Drosophila melanogaster: one gene and its partners. The protein of the gene in region 3 interacts with the protein of the main gene of each other region in a pairwise test. Each region holds a gene or a part of one and is shown on either strand. Other genes may lie near its edges.

Region 1 (4,960 bases), on a different chromosome or scaffold from region 3:
CTTAAGCCCAAATTTCGCGGCATGTAACACTTCCCATTTTCAGCAGCTAAGATTTACTATTGTATAATCCCTATGTAAAGAAATGATTGAGGGCCGAAAATGGAACACTAAAACTGTATCAGGCACAGACAAAAATAACACCTTCAAATGCAATTTGTAGACCCAACGACGACAGCTCACAACTCGTGCCATAACTTTCAAATGCGATTTGTTCAAAAATTTGTTCCAGAAAGAAGTGGAGGAAGAGAACGGCGTGACACCAGTTGGCCAGGCTACCAGCAAGCGGACCAACCAACGAGTGCAACCAATTCGCGGATCTGAATAAGTGCAACTCCAAGTCCAAATCCAATTTCAATTGCATTGCGAATGCGGCAGCCAAAGACACGTTTTTGAACTATACGACCCCGAAAGGGTCAAGTGGCGCGTGTAGCGAAAGCCATGGCTAAAACCCCAAACCGCTGCCAGCAGTAGCCGATCCAACTTGATTTTATGGCTAACGTATACATGGCCACCCACTTAAAGGGTTTTCCAAACGAAGGAGAACCGATCTCCGAGCCGAGCATTCGATCTTCATGCCCCAGTGCGTGGCGAAACCTTACTTGCGTCTGAACTTGACATGCATATGTACGCGTAGATAGATACATATAGTCTCAAACCCCCCGATCTCCGATTCCCAAGCCGATCATGATTAACCGGCTGGTGCGTGTTGCATGAGTGCTGTAGGTAGGGTAGTAATCAGTCTAGACTGCATTGGGCTCATCCCACGTTCAGCATTGAGATATGTTCGCATATCGAAAGTGTGCTGTTCCAATTAATGGCTTCATTTGCTCACCCAATCGGACCCAATGACACCTTGAGGCTGAAAACAATAAATGTTTAATTAGCCCGAGTCACAAGCATCGTAAAAATATTTATAATAAAGTCCAATTTTGGTGCAAGACCCATAAAGTCTGGTTCAATGGCACACTCGTTACGTAACGTAAGCAGCCTTTACGTTACGTTAAAAACGCCGGTTGTCTGACAAGCAAAAGCCGGGTGAAAAGAGTGAGTTGGTAAGAGAGCGGTGAGTAGGGTTGTCACAGCTCGCAAAGAAACTTAAATTATAAAAAATAAAAATTTAAGTAAAAATTTACATTACAAGCACTGGGTGTTTTCAAGGTTACCTTTTGACTTGACAAAACAAGGTGCAGTTGCGATAAGATATGATATCATTTGCTAACGTTTAACTTATAGATATCATTCAATTGTTATTAACTTTCATTGTTCAGCTCCTTTTCGAGATTGAGACAATAAATCACCATTAACCACAATGAGTTAAGCAGAGTGTGTAGGTATGGTTATTGTAAGCCATAATAAATACATTTATCCCCCTGCGAAAAAAGTGGAACTAAGCCAAAGAGCGGCTTTGACCAGGTTCTCTTTTTGTATCTTTGTATCGGGCCTAGCAAATCTCTTTCCAACAGAGAGCCGCTCCCAACGAGGCTGACATCATCGAGAGGCCCAGTCTCCTCCGGACCTGGCCAAGTTGAAAAACTATAGCCAGATTGTCGGTTTGTCGGGTATTTAATGCGCGGTGCGAGCGCGAAACTCTTTTAGTACAGCGTTGGCGTGCAAGACAGACGGTTCGGTTTCTGGGAAGCTTCGAAGCCTCAAAACGAGTTCGTTATAAAGCAAATATTAATGTGTATATAGCTGTGTGTGCCAGCAGACACTTTATGAACACACACACACACACTTTTCTGTGCCGAAAACAAAAGTATACAAATAATCTAGAAACAAAACACGAGTAAACATTAAACAGTGCTTGAATGTTGTGACTTCGAGTGAAGCCAAGCGTTGAGTGTGAAATGCAAAACGGGCAAATTCAAGACCCCCAGAGATCACAAAGTTCGTCTCAAAGACTGAGCAGCCCGAGTCCCGAAAACAATTGCAAAGAAAGTGAAAGATCAGAGACAGAAAAGGAAAAGGAAAAGTCCGAGAAAGGGAAAGGTTGTGGCTACTCGAGTTGTCTTTTCAGATGCTCCGTCAGGTGCATCGAGATTAGAAGCCTCCGGTTACCATTTATTCCCCTGAAAGCAAACAGCTGTTGCACTCAGACAATCGCCCACTGATCATTGAAACTTTTTTGCCAGAAAACAAGCATTTTCAATAATTTTTGTCCAATGCCTGGCTGGCTGACTATGCGTTTTTCGTATTCATCGAGAGCTGACAAAAATTATTAAAAATACAAAAACAAAAAAAATCGCGTATACCACGCGTTTTTTTTTTTTATTAAGTCGATTGATTCATTGAGCCCCTTGTCCGTGTGCCTTTGTGTGTGTGTGGTGTGTGCCCGTGCGTATGTGAGTATTGGTGAATACAATCAACGGAGCACGGAGAAAAAAAGGAAAAAAGCGGCCAAGCGACATTGATGCCAATCGCCAGTGCATTTGTTGTTGCTGTTTGCATCGGACCAGAATATAATGAAATAAAGCCAAATAAAATATAAGCTAAAACGCCTTCAGTGGACTTCACGCTGAAAAAAAAGATATCAAACGGACAGGTACGTGCAATTCGTCTCATTTTGATTTATTTCAATTGAACCCATAGCCATAAATTGTCATGTATACTTTGCTAGACTTGCTAGGCATTAAAACTCACATGCATATTATTTTTGAATTTTCGGTGAGAGGAGCTAGTACCTATGATAAATTGCTGCTAGAAAATCAAACAGCTAATGAGAAAATAACTATAGCTGATGATGCAATATATAACAGTCAGAAAATTGTGTAAAATTTAGATATTCACCATAAACATGACATATCAATAGCTTGATTTAGCTCGATGATAAATTAAAACAAATAAACACATTTACACAGTACTATAATAAATAGTCATATTTTAGCTAAGGTCATTGACTAGAGCATATTGCTTCGAATTGCTGTCCATTTATTTCTTATTCAAACCTAAAAAACATTGCAAATGAAAGAAATACATTCTCTTTTATGCTCGAAAACCATTCCCATAATTATAATAATGATTTCCGAAGTCATTTCGCCCTGCTCCATTTTAAAGCATCCAACAATAGAAGAGAACATTCTTATACTTTCCTTTGTCTGATTTATAAAGTTATTTTTCTCAGTTAATTATTTGGCTTGCCATGATATTTTGTTTACTCCGAAGCTTGCCAATTTATCTTACTACCACCTCCACCCAACTCATCAGCGATCATTGGGAAACCAAATCACCCTATCCATATATCATGAATCATTAATATATTTTTGAACAATTAGGGTTCAATGATTCTAGTGCTGGGCATGAGTTCCCAGATCGCCCATTAGTCATCAGAATGTCCAGACCAGATCGGAGTATCCCACTCAAGCCATATCGGGATAGTTGTCTGGTTTTTTTTTTTATTTTTTACACATTTATTTATACAAGTTATTCAATACTACGGTTTCTTTTCATGTGGACCGAAACTTAGTTATATTTATGACTATATCCAGTGATTTCGGGGACTACAATTGTCGCATTAGGAACTTGTGGCGTGCATTAGTGCAAATTACCATTGGGCTCAAAAGGTGTTGGCCCCAATTGTCACCTCAGAAAGATATTGAAACGGAAAACTGGGTGTGGGACTCGCAGCTTATGGCATATTGCATTACTTCGTCAAAAAACTGCGATAATACTCGATTTCTTTACCTCTACATGGTATTTTATATGTATTTTTATGGGCACGCGCCTGTTGCTCGTTTTATCGGTCGAGCTGAATGTCAAAGTTAGAACTTGAGTTGCTCATGGCAGCCGAAGTTGACATTAAGACCATTTCAACACCACAGCGAGAGACTTTTTAATCAAGCTTAAGCTATCCATGGTTTATAGAAAATAAAAAACGATTACTCCAGCCGATTCACAATTGAATGGATTGCAAATTAGTGTAGCTCCTCACGTTTATTGTCGCATTTGGTATGCCAAAATTGCAACTGACACCTTGATTTACACACCCTTTTTGACCGAAAAAGGTTTAATGGTGTACGCGGTCCAAAATTCATCTTTTGTGGAATTTCGCTTTGTATTCTCAATAATCATTAATGATATTTTTGACTCTTTCGAACGAAATATATTTCTATTGTTATTTTTAAAATAAATCCAAAAAACACATAATTTAAAAAACAAAGCATTTTGTTTTCATAATTATTAGCTGTGCCTTGTATGGCTGAGGCATAAATAAAATTCTTTATAAATCATTTTCTAGCTAATGTTTCCAATGAACTTTGCCAGGTCGTTTGCAATTCGTTTGCATTTCGCATCCTATTATTTATAGTTGCCATTAACTTTTCGGGTTTGAACAGGATGTTCAAATGTGATTCATAGAAAATATGGAATCAAAGCTGGTCTCAAGGTCGATGATGAGCTCAGCAGGCTCTTGGTTAGGAGCATACATTTATTGTGAATGTTTTCTAAGTTTGCCATTTTTCAGTCCTATAGTTTTTCATCATCGCCAGCCATAATTGAACCATAAACACCTTAAAACATGCTACTATACTTAAAATAATGCAGCACCCCACACATCGTGGTGGTGACCCACCCATCACAACTGGCAAACGACCCACACGACATCGATTGTTTCGCTTCATTTTTCATTTTTTTTTCCAAGACAATGCCAAATCATTGAGCAGCCAAAAAACTGCAGCAAACAAACACCTCCGCTAAAAACAGACAGCGACCACGATCCACTGAACAGTGAACAGTTAACGGTGGGGCCCAGCCTATAGACGTGTTTAATCAATTTAAATTACCTTCAATTAGGCTCTTTGTTCGCGGTCCCGTGGACATTGCGAAAAGTCTTCAGTTCGGCATCAGCATCTGCATAAATGAAATGCAAATGAGGAAATGCCACTAATTTGTTTAGATTCCCCGGGTCTAAAATGGATGCATGCATATCTAACTTCAGCATTGGCCAATGGCTGGCAATTAAACG
Region 2 (7,949 bases), on a different chromosome or scaffold from region 3:
GCAATATCAGGCTTTATATACTAATAAACTTAACTTTTTTTTTTTTTAGTGGCTGACAGCTATGGGTATACTGAGGGGTATAAGATGAAGAAGTAATAGTACAAGGAATAGTCCAAAACTAACCCCCCAAATCCGCACAATCCTCCCTTCCCCCTTTCGATTCGTATTTTAGTCACTTAAGTTGGGTCATTTGTGATATTGCAAATATTGTCGTACGTTAAGTAATAGTCTCTTTGCCCTTTAAATGTAAGGTTAAGAAAATTATTCACAATAATTAAAATGATCACGATACAAGCTCATGAGCTAGGCATTAAAGTGGATACCATATATACTATATATTTTGTATAATTGTTATTGAACTAATAAAGATGAAAAAAATGTTGTTAAAATTCAAAACAAACGTTGTGAGCTGTAATGAAATAAAAATAGTTATGTGCAATCTTACCCACTTAACCTACTAAAATGATAATTTCCTTTGTAGTTGAAGATTTTATTTGACACGAAAGCCATGGGTCAAGAAATCATTTTAATACAAAACATATCTAATAACTAAGGAATGTAAAAAGAGTATTCGTTAGCTAAGCGAAGTCCACCAGACGTTTCGACTTCGAAGGCTATCTAATCTTTGGCATAGGCACGGGAATGCTTGCAATTTTCAGTTGGGTGTTTTAGAGTGTCACTAAACTATGAGCTACGACTAAAGCACTAGGACGGCTTAACTATCTAAATGGCGTGAATGTGGCGGTTCTGTTCAATCCTGCTTATTGTCGCTGATGGCTGTGGATGCAGTGGCCACACTTTCACCCGTCTGGGATTTAATAATGGTTGGCTTACGGCCTTTTTCGAGGAGCGGAGAACTGTCCGGAGATCCTTTGACACTCTTTTCGCACACCAAAGTGGAGGCCTTGGACTTCAGTTCCTCAGCACTGGAGAATTGAGAGCGACTCTTATACTGGCCATTCGTTTTGGTTTTGGTCCTCAGATCGTATCTACGATTTCGACAGGAAGCCAATAGAATCTGAACCGGAGTCCAGCAGAGTAGAGTTATGCCTACGATCAAGCAAATTCCGGCGAATATATGTCCGGAGAGCATGACAATGGGCAGCACCTTCAGTTGATCTGCCATATCTGGAGTGATTCTTACTTTCTGTTCGAACCATACGAGTGGGAAAAATATCCTTGGTATTCCAGTGTATAAGCTAATGCCTTGGATTGGCTCCACGAGCATATTCACTTGAAATCGGGCAGCCACCTCCAGGGGAATACCAGTACTTGGCTGCACAACCATATAAAACTCGTGATCCTTCTGGTTAGGACTCAAGCCCTCTACCTGATCTGGGTAGTAAGGATCGGCGTTGAAAAAGTGTGGATAGGACATAAAAACAGGAGATCCAAAGCGACAGGAACTGATGTTCATCACACCCGACGGAACACATTGGCCACCACAAAAACAAAGGTTCTCAGGATACTGGGTGCCTGAAATATAAATCTCTAATAGAATGGGTACTCACAATTAATCAATTCTTATCAAGACTCACCATTATCTACAGATCGTGGTCCGCCTGAGAATTTATAACCTTCCAGTCCTTCAATATCCACAGTTTCCACATAATCCAGCGGAATAGTTCGGCACATATCGGGCGTAAATAGACCAACACTATCGCCGGGCTTCAGATGCTGTGGCTGGAACTCCCCGGCGGATCCATTGGTCATACCGCAATAGGAATCAAAGAATCCAGTGTTCTCCTGGTAATTCCACGAGTGCATCTGACCCAGTTTGGCCAGTTGATCGGCGCCAGTGAAGACATTAAAAACTCCGGTAAGATCGGCACTTCCATTGCGCGTATAGAACCAACCGAACTTATCGAATGGAACCTTCACCTCATCACCAAAAATGGGCATGGCCATGGCCACGTCGATCATTGCGTCATTGTAACCGGTGAAGAGCAGCTCATCGATCGATTTTTGGACAGACATCTCGGCACCGTACATCTTTAGTCCCACATCGACAAGGGAGCGCTTAACTGGTGGCCAATATTTGGCTGTGGCGGCTGCAGACTGAAATGGAAATGTATAGTTATAGTTATATTATGTAATAAAAGGGAATAGGATACTTACCAGAGCCACTGCATTAAGCGTGGTAATCTCATCGTCCAGGCTGCCATTACTGCCCGCCGCATCAAAGTAGAACAAGCTGCGCCTGCGATAAGTGACGGATGCATTTTCTGGATGCCAGTGAATGTCCACCTTATCGGGTCGCTCGATAAAACGATAAGGACCCACCTGCTCCAGAATGGGCTTTGTGGAAAGGTTGCCGAAATCCTCCGGATTCGTCCAGTTGTACAGGTAGATGTCCAGACTGAGATCAATTGGCGGACTCTTCCAATTTTCATAGACACGTGTGTCGGGGGCCAGAGCCATTTCCTGTCGAAGAACAGAAGCCGCAATTGGTATTAATTGAAAATCTCAACGAGTTTTCCTCGATCTTTGACTCGCGCCAATTGAGAGGCGGCTGTTTTTCTTTTGACTTTCAATTGGCTTTAGCCACTAATCGAATGCAGCTGGCCGGGCTAACACTGGAGTGAAGTGAAATGAACTTAACTGAACCTCTGTCAATGACTGGGATTACCTTGTGCATGATCCAATCGAACAGGTCCACCCAGAACATGCCGCACAATATGCCAAATAGTCCCAGGCAAAAGCCGAAAATGCCGATAATTAATTTGCGATTACTTTTTTGGCCCCACATTGCGCTGTTTTGTGTTGGCATGGCTCACGCTGGGCGATGGTGTGTGGATACCTAATGGTGGCTGTAATGATATGCAAGTCATTGAAACATCAATGAAAATGGATAAATTGATAGTCTATTTGCCAACATATAAAAATGGATCAAATGAAAGAACTCATAAATGTAGTGCAAGTTGAGAATGTACTGATAAGTTTTCTATTATAAAATCATTATGAACAAATCATAATACAATAATTTAAAATATAACTTTACACAATATTATTTTGTGAACTCATGTTCATGTTGCCTACTTTCAGGCAGTGCTAGTTAAAGAATAAAAAAAATGTAGAATCAAATCTCTTATTAACAGATGCATCAAGTCACATATTAATATAAGTATGGCGAACAAAGAAATCAACAAAGAATTGAATACAAATAAAATGCAAAAAGCGCAGCATTTTATTGAGTGACGAATTCCCATAGCGTCTATTTTTATCAATATAATTGAATCAATTTAAGCAAAGCGTGACTTTCAATTGCTGTTTACACTCATGTAGAATATACTAAGTCCGGTAAGTATATGTGTACATATATACAGAACTATAGTCGAATCCCCTATCAGTGGTGATAATTACAAAGCTTCCCCCGACACTCAACGATGATGTGTTTTAATTAGTTATGATAGTTTGAAGCTGCATTGCAAGCAATACGTGTAATTATCCATTTCGTTTACGAATAACATGCATGAATGTGGATAAAATATTTTATGATCGCATTCGGTAGGCGAATTTTCCTATATGGGGCATTCACTGTGGTCCGATAAGCGGATTCTGAACTCTTAGGTAAACAGACCCATGAGGAAGCCACAGACAATTGAGGAAATTGAACTGCACTGCACTTATCGCTTATCGGGAATCCATCCTCTGGCAATTATTTGACCAATCTGCCCAGAGTTCCCATCACCAAACACTATGTATCACTTGAGCATAAATATTGCATATGTACGTACATATGCCACAGGTTCGCATCTCTGTGATATATCGTCATAATTGAGTCTATCAATTGACCCCGCAGTGAGCTATGGTTGGGTCTTTGACACTTTGCGTTATTGCACATGAATACGAGTAGGAATCTATATATATATATACACATATATACATATATATATGCTTATTTGGGAGCGTGTCAGTTGTGTTCTGGTTGGTGTCTGGTAAATTGATATGATTATGTCTTTTGAATGATGAATAGCTGTCGAGCATTTGTCGGCGCCTTTTTATTGTCTTCACAATTAATCTGAAGTGAGTTTTAATTGAAATGGACGTTGGACAGGTGCATCACGTAGAGTTCATCCCGCATTTTTCGCTTAATTCAATTAGATCAAGAGCAATACCGCACATAACGAGGATAGATTTTGAATGGAAATCTAAGAGATTTTAGCAGGAATATCTCTTTTTGTGAGAAAATATTTATAGCAAGATACGTTTTTTTTTCAGTGCAGTTCTTTGATATTCGCTCTTGAAGCTCGAAGCCGCAACACTGAATAATTGCGTTTAATTAAGCTTAAATTTTAGTGACCGGTATATTTGATTCATTATTAAATTAGGCATGCTCTTGTCATACTCTCTGGTTCTTGATCTTCTATATTAACATTTTTATGAATGCTCCGAACGCTTTATTCATATTCTATGCAAATGCACCGAGAACACTGAACTCTGAAGTGATGCCACATCGAAAGTGAATGCATTCTGAAACATTCTAGCAAGAATTATCTGCCTTTTTGGCGTTAACTTCCTGAGTGCAAGTGCACTTGATATGAAACGGAAATTCTAAGTACTAAGTCAGACGCAGTAAACCCGATACTTTAAGATCGTCTACTGGATGTGAGACAAGTCAACACCTTCTCAGTTTTTCCTGATGTTTTTCAACCCCATTTAACCACAAAGGCTGCCATTGAGATAAACCGCAACTTACAGATTTGACGCAGTTCGCAAATTCACATATGCTTGGGCGAGTATTTTTTGATAACGAGCTATCGGCATGTAATTGAGTTTTCGCAGCCTTCAAGTACGAAAATACACACGACGATTTAAAAAAAAGCCAACAACTATAAATAAAGAGCGAAAGGCTAAACCGTAAATAGGCTTGGTACTTTTAAAGGTCCCTGAACTGCAGAAAGTTATTTTGTTTCTTTTTAATGAACTTTAAATCAAAAAATTTCTTTAAATGCCACTTTTACGTAGCCAAGATTTCAGTATTAACTAAAGTTGTTTAAGCCCTTTGAGATTTTAATTAATTCATTGTGAATTGATTAATTGATTTGACTTTAATTGTCCAGCATGAGTTGAATTCTTAAACGAAACTTTAATGAACATGCTATTAGGGGCTAGTTTCGATTATCTTGAACTATATTTAAACGGGTCCCATGAGTAATTTGCCAACGAACAGCTGTATTTATTGAGGATTCGCCAATCTGGGCATTGATTATTCAATTAGCGAATAGCTGGAAAATGAATGTGAAGTTTCTTTGGCTCTTTATTGCATACAATAAAGAAAATTTAAATAAATATTTTAATTTGCAATTTTTAAGACATTCGTTGGTTTTCTATTAGAGTATTTACATTATTTGTTTTTCAGATATTTATTATCTTATAAAGGCACACGCAACTGCAATTAGTTGGGAGCAAGTTGATATTTAATTATCTTGAACTTTAAATGGTTAACAGGTCGCATACGCAATGTGTTTTGTACACCACTGTTTTGTTTTTTATTTATATACCAAATAAGATCAGCTGCCGTTCTTTTGCAGAAAATTCCAAAACATATACTAGATTTTTTTATTTTTTCATTATAATTTATCATCGCCCAATTTCGTTTTATGTAAAAATACAAGCTACAAAACATAATTCGTCAACGGGGCGCATGCTTAATATTTTCCTGAGCAGCTGTTTTCCCTGGGACTAATTTTAGACCATTAATCGCACAATCAACAGGTCGCCTCGTAGTCCAAGCTGGAAGCCCTTTGTTTTGCATTCCGGCACTCTTATTTCTTCAAAAGGGAGACGACACACAAAGCCAGTATAAACACAAAAAGAATGTATAATATAGATTGCCACTGTACATACATATATATTTGGTTTTCTGTCTGGCGACTATTTTTCATTCTTGTCGAGTTAATTTCATTTAATGACCTGTAATCTTAATAAGTCTGCCGGCGATTAAGCCAAATCAAGCCAAAACGTAATGTGTTAACAAAGCAGGAAGCGCTAAGAAATTACGTGATATTGCGAAAGGAGTTTTCTTTTGTCTTTCCAAATTTCCTTTATTTTCTTTTAAAGGCACTCACTTGACTTTTATTTGCTAAATAGAAACAAATCACAGGCTCCTCGGTTTTTTTTTTACGTTTTGATTTTCCTTGCGAGGAAATTGAAATTCGATAAGGATGTGGACAGAACGCTTGAGCACGTGGATGATTTCTTTGCACAGAGGCCGGAAAAGTGGACACGAGTCCCTGGGAAATGCCGTAAAATGGTACCGCTTCGCCCGGCGGCTTCGATGCGACTGTGCGGCGGACTCTCAGCGAACGGACCGCGAGCAGAGCGGAGCGGTCTCGGCGGCCGATGAATGTCAGTCAAGTGCGGCACATGGAAATGGAAATGTATATGGAATTGGGCTTGAGAAGAGCTCCGAGTATCCGAGCAACGGTGTGTATGTGTGTGTGCGAGTGGGTGTTTGGGTTAATTTGCGCTTTGGGCTTTTCATAGTTGTGCCATTGAATTTTGAATTAAACAATATACAATCTGAAACGCGAGTACGACTTTAAAACTGTAGAATGCATCCAAGGGAAGAAGTAGTCAGAAACAACAGTGTCACCATCTTTATATAAATTTTTGGAAATAATCTAAATTGAACCATTTGCTTTGTTAAATACGTTTACAAATATTTTAGTTTCTTATATATATATTTTTTAAATATTTACATCTAATAAATATCAAATGATATAAAAATGAAATGAATGAACTGAAAGAGTCAACATATTTTCTATTGTTCAGTCGAATAGCAAATATAACTGGGTCACATTTCAAAAAATCACAATCAGCGAAAGAAATTCCTATGCACTTAGATTTCATAAAACTGCGAATTTTCGCATACGAATCGGGTGGCTTGTGGAAAAGTAAACAAATCGTAAAGTAGAAATCCGAATTGATAACAAATTGTCGAAGCCTTATCAATGCGGCTAATCGTGATGATTAGCACTGGGTGAACAGCGAACATTCACGACTAACCCCACACACTTGTAAGCTGCGAAAATCGACAAGCGATCAGAGCAAAGTTTCAACTGTTTTTTTGTTTTATTTCGCTATCATAGGGGCACAACTCCCCAGCAAATGGCATAGAAAACACCCATGGATTGCAGTCTGAGGCAATAAAACAATAAAATGTCATTGCTTCAGTGCGTATTCAGGCTGGCTTCCTTATTGGATTAGTCTTTTGCCTCCTTTCACATGGCGTGCTAACTGGGATTAGCTATCAGTTGTGGCCAAAAGTCAGTTACCGCTGCAGATTATGTTGCAATGTTGTGAAGTGGAGCAAGCAGAAGTGGGTCAAGCCAGCCCTTAGCTTCGAAATGGGTCTCGGCCAGCATTATCCATTTGAATTCATTAGTGAAATTCAAGCAGCTCATGTCAGCCAGCAACACAGTCAGTGACGTAGCAACCAGCTTGTTGTTGTCGATTGGCTTACGTTACGTGAATACGTAACGTACTGATTAAGTGCAATTGAAATGTTTACTTGCTTTAAATATTATATCATAACTTAAAAAATACGGATAAAAAATGTAATTTACTGCGAGCTGGAAAACTTTAATTTATTTTTCATCTGTACGTTAGGACACTTTATGTTTAAATTTAATTGATTAATGTGTATATATAATTTTAATCAATCGCCGAGATGAATGGAATGTAAATTATTTGTTGAATTGGAGCTGGTGTCGTCCATGTGATGTGTGAATCGAAACTGAATTAGGATAATGAGGTAGCACGTGGCAGCACCAGTAATCTGCAAAAATTAACCACTTAAATAAATAAAATATTTAATTATTTTCAACATTAGTTCACCGTAAAAATCAGTGTGCGATCCAGACGAAAAAGTCCTGCGGCTGTGAAAAGGACCTTCCGATGCGACAGCTGCAAGGACAGACGGAAAAGTCGATCTCTGAGTTCTG
Region 3 (5,629 bases):
CGAGCATTTGCTGGTGCCCGCTTTTTGTGTGCCAAGTGTCCTGGCGTAATTAGTTGGCCACTTCCGCTTCCACTTCCTTGCCGCCATCGCATCCGTGTCTGTCTGCGCGAGTCCTTTAATGGATTTCGCCTCTGACTGCGCGCGAAAATTCATTAAAACTCGATAATTGCATGACAAGACAAGATCCTGGAATTTGGCCATCGGGTGCGAGTCCTTGTTTATCCCTGGGCTCGCTATCTGGCAAATGGCATTAAGAACCAGTTGATTTACTTGCGATTGTTTTCCGCTTGGTGCACTGAGCAAAATAAGGAGCATAACATATTATCGAAGAGATCGATGTTAAGAAATCTCAGAATATTTATTGTATATTTGAATATCTAAAACCTGAATTACAACTTAAAGAATATATTATTTTGACATATGTTCAAAACAACAAGGAATTTATTTAAAGCAATAATTTCATTAAAACGAAGAGGAGATTATTTCATTTAAAACAATTGGATGTGTAGTTATTAAATCAGCTGCCAACCAAGCTGGCCAAAGTAAATATTCCTTTTGCGTGACTTACTATGCATATTGTATTATTCATTCTACCGAAATGAGGATTCGGTAAGCCATGTATTTGTTGCATCTGCCCATCGCACAGCCAGTAAGTAATTGTCTTGATTAAATAATTTAATCTGCTAAATGCAGGCATTTTAATCTAGAAAAGCTGCGACCATGTCAGGTGCACGCACTTCATTGGCACCCAGGAAATCATTGGTTATTAGCCTTCGGCCCGTCGGCATCGAATTGAGTTGGAATACCAGAGATGTAATTTCAGCCTGCGGTTGCAGGGCAGCAAATTGAATTTTGCTGTAAAGCCGCTCGTTGCCAGGAGGCAGGATAAACATGCTAAACGTATAAATTTTCAGCCTGATTGCATTCCAAAGTTTCGGGCCACTAGGACGGCATGCCAGAAACTATACACAAAAGATAATGCCGCTGCACAATTGGATTGCCAGCTGAGGGGGAGAATGCAGCACACAAACATTCATTTTCCACTCGACTGGAGTTGAGCGCGTTTCGCATTCGCATTCGCATTTGGTATTTCGCATTTCAGCAAAATTTCAATGCGACAGACAAGAGCGACCCAGACGGTATTGTTACGGTTACGCTTTAGGACCAGGACTAACCTGAACCTCCAATGAGTGACATTTATCTTGCGAGGACAACAAGGGGCGTCCTGTCGGAGCATTCATTTGCGTAATTAGTGGCCAAGTGGCATCCGCAACCTGGTTGCCAAATGCCAAATGCCATTTGGCTTCGGTCGCAGAGCAGAGGCCTCAAAATCACCGCAACTGCTGCTTGATTATTGGCCAGGACCAAAAGGAATGGCCAGCAGACAGGCGACGTCAGCACAATTGATAGCATACTTCTCAGGGCAGCGGCAGCTGAGGAGCAGCAAAGGTGAGTCCCTTGCCGAGCACTTGGCTCCACTGCACTCCTTAGCCACAATAGAATGTACCCACTTTGAATTTGTAGTAAACACGGAAGCACACTTTTGAATTTATAAACATATAATTAGCTACAAAAAAATTGCATTTAGTTGCTAAGCTTACCGCCAAGTAAAAATCATAAAATTTAAACTTTAGCAGTTATTGCCAATGTATCCAAAAATGTAATTCTCATATTTATCTCCTACATACAATATTTCAATTAAATAATTATAGTCGTCTAGTTATTGTACCTTATGTGCTCATGTTTTCGGGCTATATAAATCGCAGTTTTAAGCCAATAACATTTTCAGCAACGATTTCCCCTAGTGAATTAGGAAATAGTAATTGATTTTATGCGATTGATTCACTGCTGCACCAGTAAAAAGTATCTGCCTGAACTAAGGAAGTATAATTAAATTAGTTTTAAACTGGAAAGTAACCGAATCAACGTGGCAAGCAAGCGGAAAACTTCATTTGTAGCTGGGAATTGGCCACGTGGGTGGGCGGTGTTCCTTGGTTGGTTCGGGGGGGAGTGGGAAAAAGGAGAGCTACGTGAGAGTTACAAGGGCACGCACGCAGACACACGGGCACAGCGAAAAGCGAAAGCAGCGAGAGAGGAAAATCGGAGATGACGAAAAACAGCAACAGCAACGGCAATGGCAACAGCGACTAAGCAAAACATGGGCCAAACCAAAACAAAAACACACGATTTGCCGGCAAAATGCACGTGACACATCCTTTGGCGAGCTTCGTCGAGTGCGATCCTTCGTCGAGTGCCGAATGCAGCCGATTGCAGCCGAACGAAGCAGAGCCGAAGCTGCGCAGAATCCAACGAGAGGTATAAAAGCGAGACGCTCGCCGCACTCGTGGCATTCGATTGTCGTCGCTCGAGAGGATAGGTGCCCAGCTTCGAAAAGGATAAAACCCCGCAAAGGACTCTAAGTAAAAGTGAAACTTTAAAGCCAAAGAGCACACACACATACACATACACGCGCACACGTTGCATACAGTTTGGCGCGAGTGTGGGTTACTGCTGGCGGTACGCCAGTGTGTGTGTGTGAGTTGGCCAAGTGGATTTCTATTTTTGGCCCATTAAGAAGTCAACTCGTGAAGTGCAGTGGTGTTAAATTCGTTGCTATTTGAAAGGACTCATCGGGTTGCTTAACAAACGAAAACAAAACAACGCCGAAACTCTGGCAATCGCAATCTGATCCTTGGACATGTGGAGCAGGCAGCGAATGCGCCATAAGCCGCTTTGGGCCCTAATATCCTTGACCGTTTTGCTGCTGGTCCTGGACAAAAGCAATGCCAACACGGAGCCCGTCGAGACCAGCACCACATCCGAGCCAGGTGAGTCCTAATTGCCCCGCACACACGTGGGCTCCTCCGTTTGACCTTCACTCACTGGACGGACGAAAAGCGTAAATAAATTATGACGGGCCGCCTCGAACTCGGTCACTTTATTAAATGGCCTTCCACGCATCCATGGAAATCGGACAGTTCACAGCTTCCAGCTCCCAGCGATTATCACACACGCTCGAACAAAAAGGATATAAATCCGGAGTAGAAATGAATTCGTAACCGGGAGGGGAAGCTACAGAGCGCAAGAGCAAATAACTGGCAGCAAATGAAATATTTCACGGCATCTGCGGCACAAAGGCAATCAAAGCGAGCCGAGAGCCCATGGGCAACCTTAATCCCAATCAGAGTCAACAAACAAGCAAGGGCATCGCGAAAACGGGGCACTGCGGAAAATATTTGGCAACAAATTTTTAGGTTGCTTTTCATATTAAATTATAAAAGACATGCTTATAAGGTGCAAGGATAATGGCTTTTATTATGAATCATTCAAAGCAAGACATCATGAAGTCTTTAAAGTTAGTTTTCAAACGCAATCACAAACATTATTTTTCAGTAAGAATAAAGAAAAACATGATTGTCATGTATGACAAATCGAAATAAATTTTCGTATAGCATTCACATAAATATTTAAAATCATTATGTATTTCACACCTTGTAAAATAATTATTTAACCTTTATTTCGAGCGTATTATGATAATTTATTAGGTAAGAATTTAATGATAAATTTAGTTATTTTTGATCAAATATATTTTCAATTACATATGTATATTTATACATTATAAATTATGATTACTGAACATTTTGAACATGTGAAATCATTAATAAGGCGCAAACTTAATGCATACTTTTGATTGTTAGACCTTTGCTCCTAAATCTCAACGAAACTTAATTCCGCTGGCAGTCACCAATAATTTCTCTCAGTGCACTAGGGGAAGGGGAGCTGAAAGGTAGCTCGGGCAAGCGGCAATTGCACGAAAGTCCGTAATGAAGTATGGCAGGCAGGCCGTCCGAGGCTGGTAATAGAAATTAATAGCGTCATGTGTGAGTTTTGCGAAAGGGAAGGAAGACTTTGGACGGGGGAATGGGTGGATGTGGGGTACAAGGGACAAGGGAAGTGGGAAAAAGGATACAGGGGAAGTGTAAAGTGCCCGACAGCGACACGCAGATGCGCATAAAGTAATTAATTCACTCTGCCTCCATCGGCATCGCCATCGCCATCGCCATCCCTCCAGTCGGTTGCCTTCTAATTTCCCCTGGCAAATCGACAGGACCAGCTGTTGAGCTGCTGAGCTTTTGGGGTTTCGTCCTTCAGTCAGGCAAAAGTGCGTCGCACTTATCTTCTTTTTTTTTCTTTTGTGGCGGATATTGCGACTTCTTATTTCGCCTTTTGGTGCGCAGTTTGGCAGTCAGTCAGGTGAGAGGGGTGCCGATTCTTAGATTTTCTGAGATCCAAACGTTCGCTTGACACATGTGAAAGCGAGGGAAATTTAATTTACATGACTCACAAATGGAATCCATTTAATGTTGACTTATGGCGACGAAGCACTAGCGCACAGAGCACTAATGAAATATGCAGTAGCCGAGTAGCAGCTAAAACCAGAGCTGCCTTTCACCCATTTCCATGTGCTGTCCCATAAATCCTGGGTCCCCAGGATGGATGATGATGTTGGAACGAGTTGGGCGCACACTAAAAAATATGCGTTTACGATAATTATTTTCAATAGTAGAGTAGTAGTAAGCCACATATAAAAGAGAAGCTAACTAAAAATATCCCTTCGAAACATGATATAAATATTTCATAAAATAAATAGGAAGCCAAAGATAGATGGAACTTATTTCAGTGCACCACACACAGTGCATTTTGCGAGCCCATGGTCACCCATGTCTTTTTGCCACATTTTATGTGCTTAGAACAAAGCTGAGTCTGCATTATGCATGCAAATGGTATAACTGAGTAACGAACTGTCAAAATCGCAGTTAAAGCAAAAAGGAGTCGTTGGGAAAGGGATGTAGCCTCGGCAGGAGGAGGAAAACCAAATGACAAAAAGTCGCCAGCGCATTATGCATTTGCATTCCCATATATGTGAGCTAAAGGACAGAGATTACTTGACTTTTCCTGGGCTGCCTCAAAAATAATAGGAGGGGTAGGAAATGACAGGGAGCTCCCACTGTGTGGGAAATGGGAGTTGGAATTGTAATAGCTGCTGGAAAAGAAGAAGAGAAGTGCTTCTACCCGCCAGGGCATGAATGATTTATAGGGCGGCAGCTGTCGAGATGCCAACGATTATCGGCCATAAGCTAGTCACAGGACATTTTTGCACCAAGAGAAAGAAGAAAGGAGTCTTTGGATGAAACTATTGTTCACTGTGCACTTTATGACTAACAGAGTTCCGTGAACAATTCCATTCCGTTAAAGCTGCCTCATTTTCTTCTCACGAGCTTCACGTGAATCTGGTTCTTGGTCCGCAGTGTTAGTCCAGTTTGAAAAACAATAGTTTTCGGATCGATTTCTGGTAGAATTTGGAACTGCTTCAGTAGGGCCACCATTAGGGTTTTCATCTCCTGCATGGCAAATTTTTGACCTACAAAGAAAATGATATGTTTATCCAATCATTCCATGAGAGTAAGCAATATTACATACCTATGCAATTCCTCTGACCAGCACTGAATGGAATATATGCGTAGGTGTGACGATTCTGCGAGTTTTCGGGCAGAAATCTCTCCGGGCGAAACTCTTCGGGAGAATCCCAGTACTCGGGATTGCGATGGATGTCGAAGACATGGACAAA

What was found. The genes of interacting proteins can lie anywhere in the genome.
Region 1: the proteins of hig (region 3) and CG34398 interact in a two-hybrid assay, tested with the Drosophila melanogaster proteins (one large-scale study listed by BioGRID).
Region 2: the proteins of hig (region 3) and santa-maria interact in a two-hybrid assay, tested with the Drosophila melanogaster proteins (one large-scale study listed by BioGRID).

What each region holds. Positions count from the first base shown.
Region 1 is NT_033779.5:8,897,193-8,902,152, forward strand, and holds the start of CG34398 (uncharacterized protein), read left to right. Parts: upstream 1-1,593; 5' UTR 1,594-1,658; exon of another isoform or gene 1,659-2,542; intron 2,543-4,960.
Region 2 is NT_033779.5:7,444,878-7,452,826, forward strand, and holds santa-maria (scavenger receptor acting in neural tissue and majority of rhodopsin is absent), read right to left. Parts: upstream 6,368-7,949; 5' UTR 6,072-6,367; exon of another isoform or gene 2,811-6,071; 5' UTR 2,771-2,810; coding exon 2,630-2,770; intron 2,425-2,629; coding exon 2,119-2,424; intron 2,059-2,118; coding exon 1,539-2,058; intron 1,477-1,538; coding exon 752-1,476; 3' UTR 478-751; downstream 1-477. Other genes in the region: CG5973 (uncharacterized protein), read left to right, coding at 50-96; Gr28a (gustatory receptor 28a), read right to left, coding at 7,664-7,783, 7,843-7,949.
Region 3 is NT_033778.4:9,243,964-9,249,592, reverse strand, and holds the start of hig (hikaru genki), read left to right. Parts: upstream 1-2,343; 5' UTR 2,344-2,698; coding exon 2,699-2,828; intron 2,829-5,182; exon of another isoform or gene 5,183-5,261; coding exon of another isoform or gene 5,262-5,422; intron 5,423-5,481; coding exon of another isoform or gene 5,482-5,629. Other genes in the region: Cyp4p3 (cytochrome P450 4p3), read right to left, coding at 5,262-5,422, 5,482-5,629.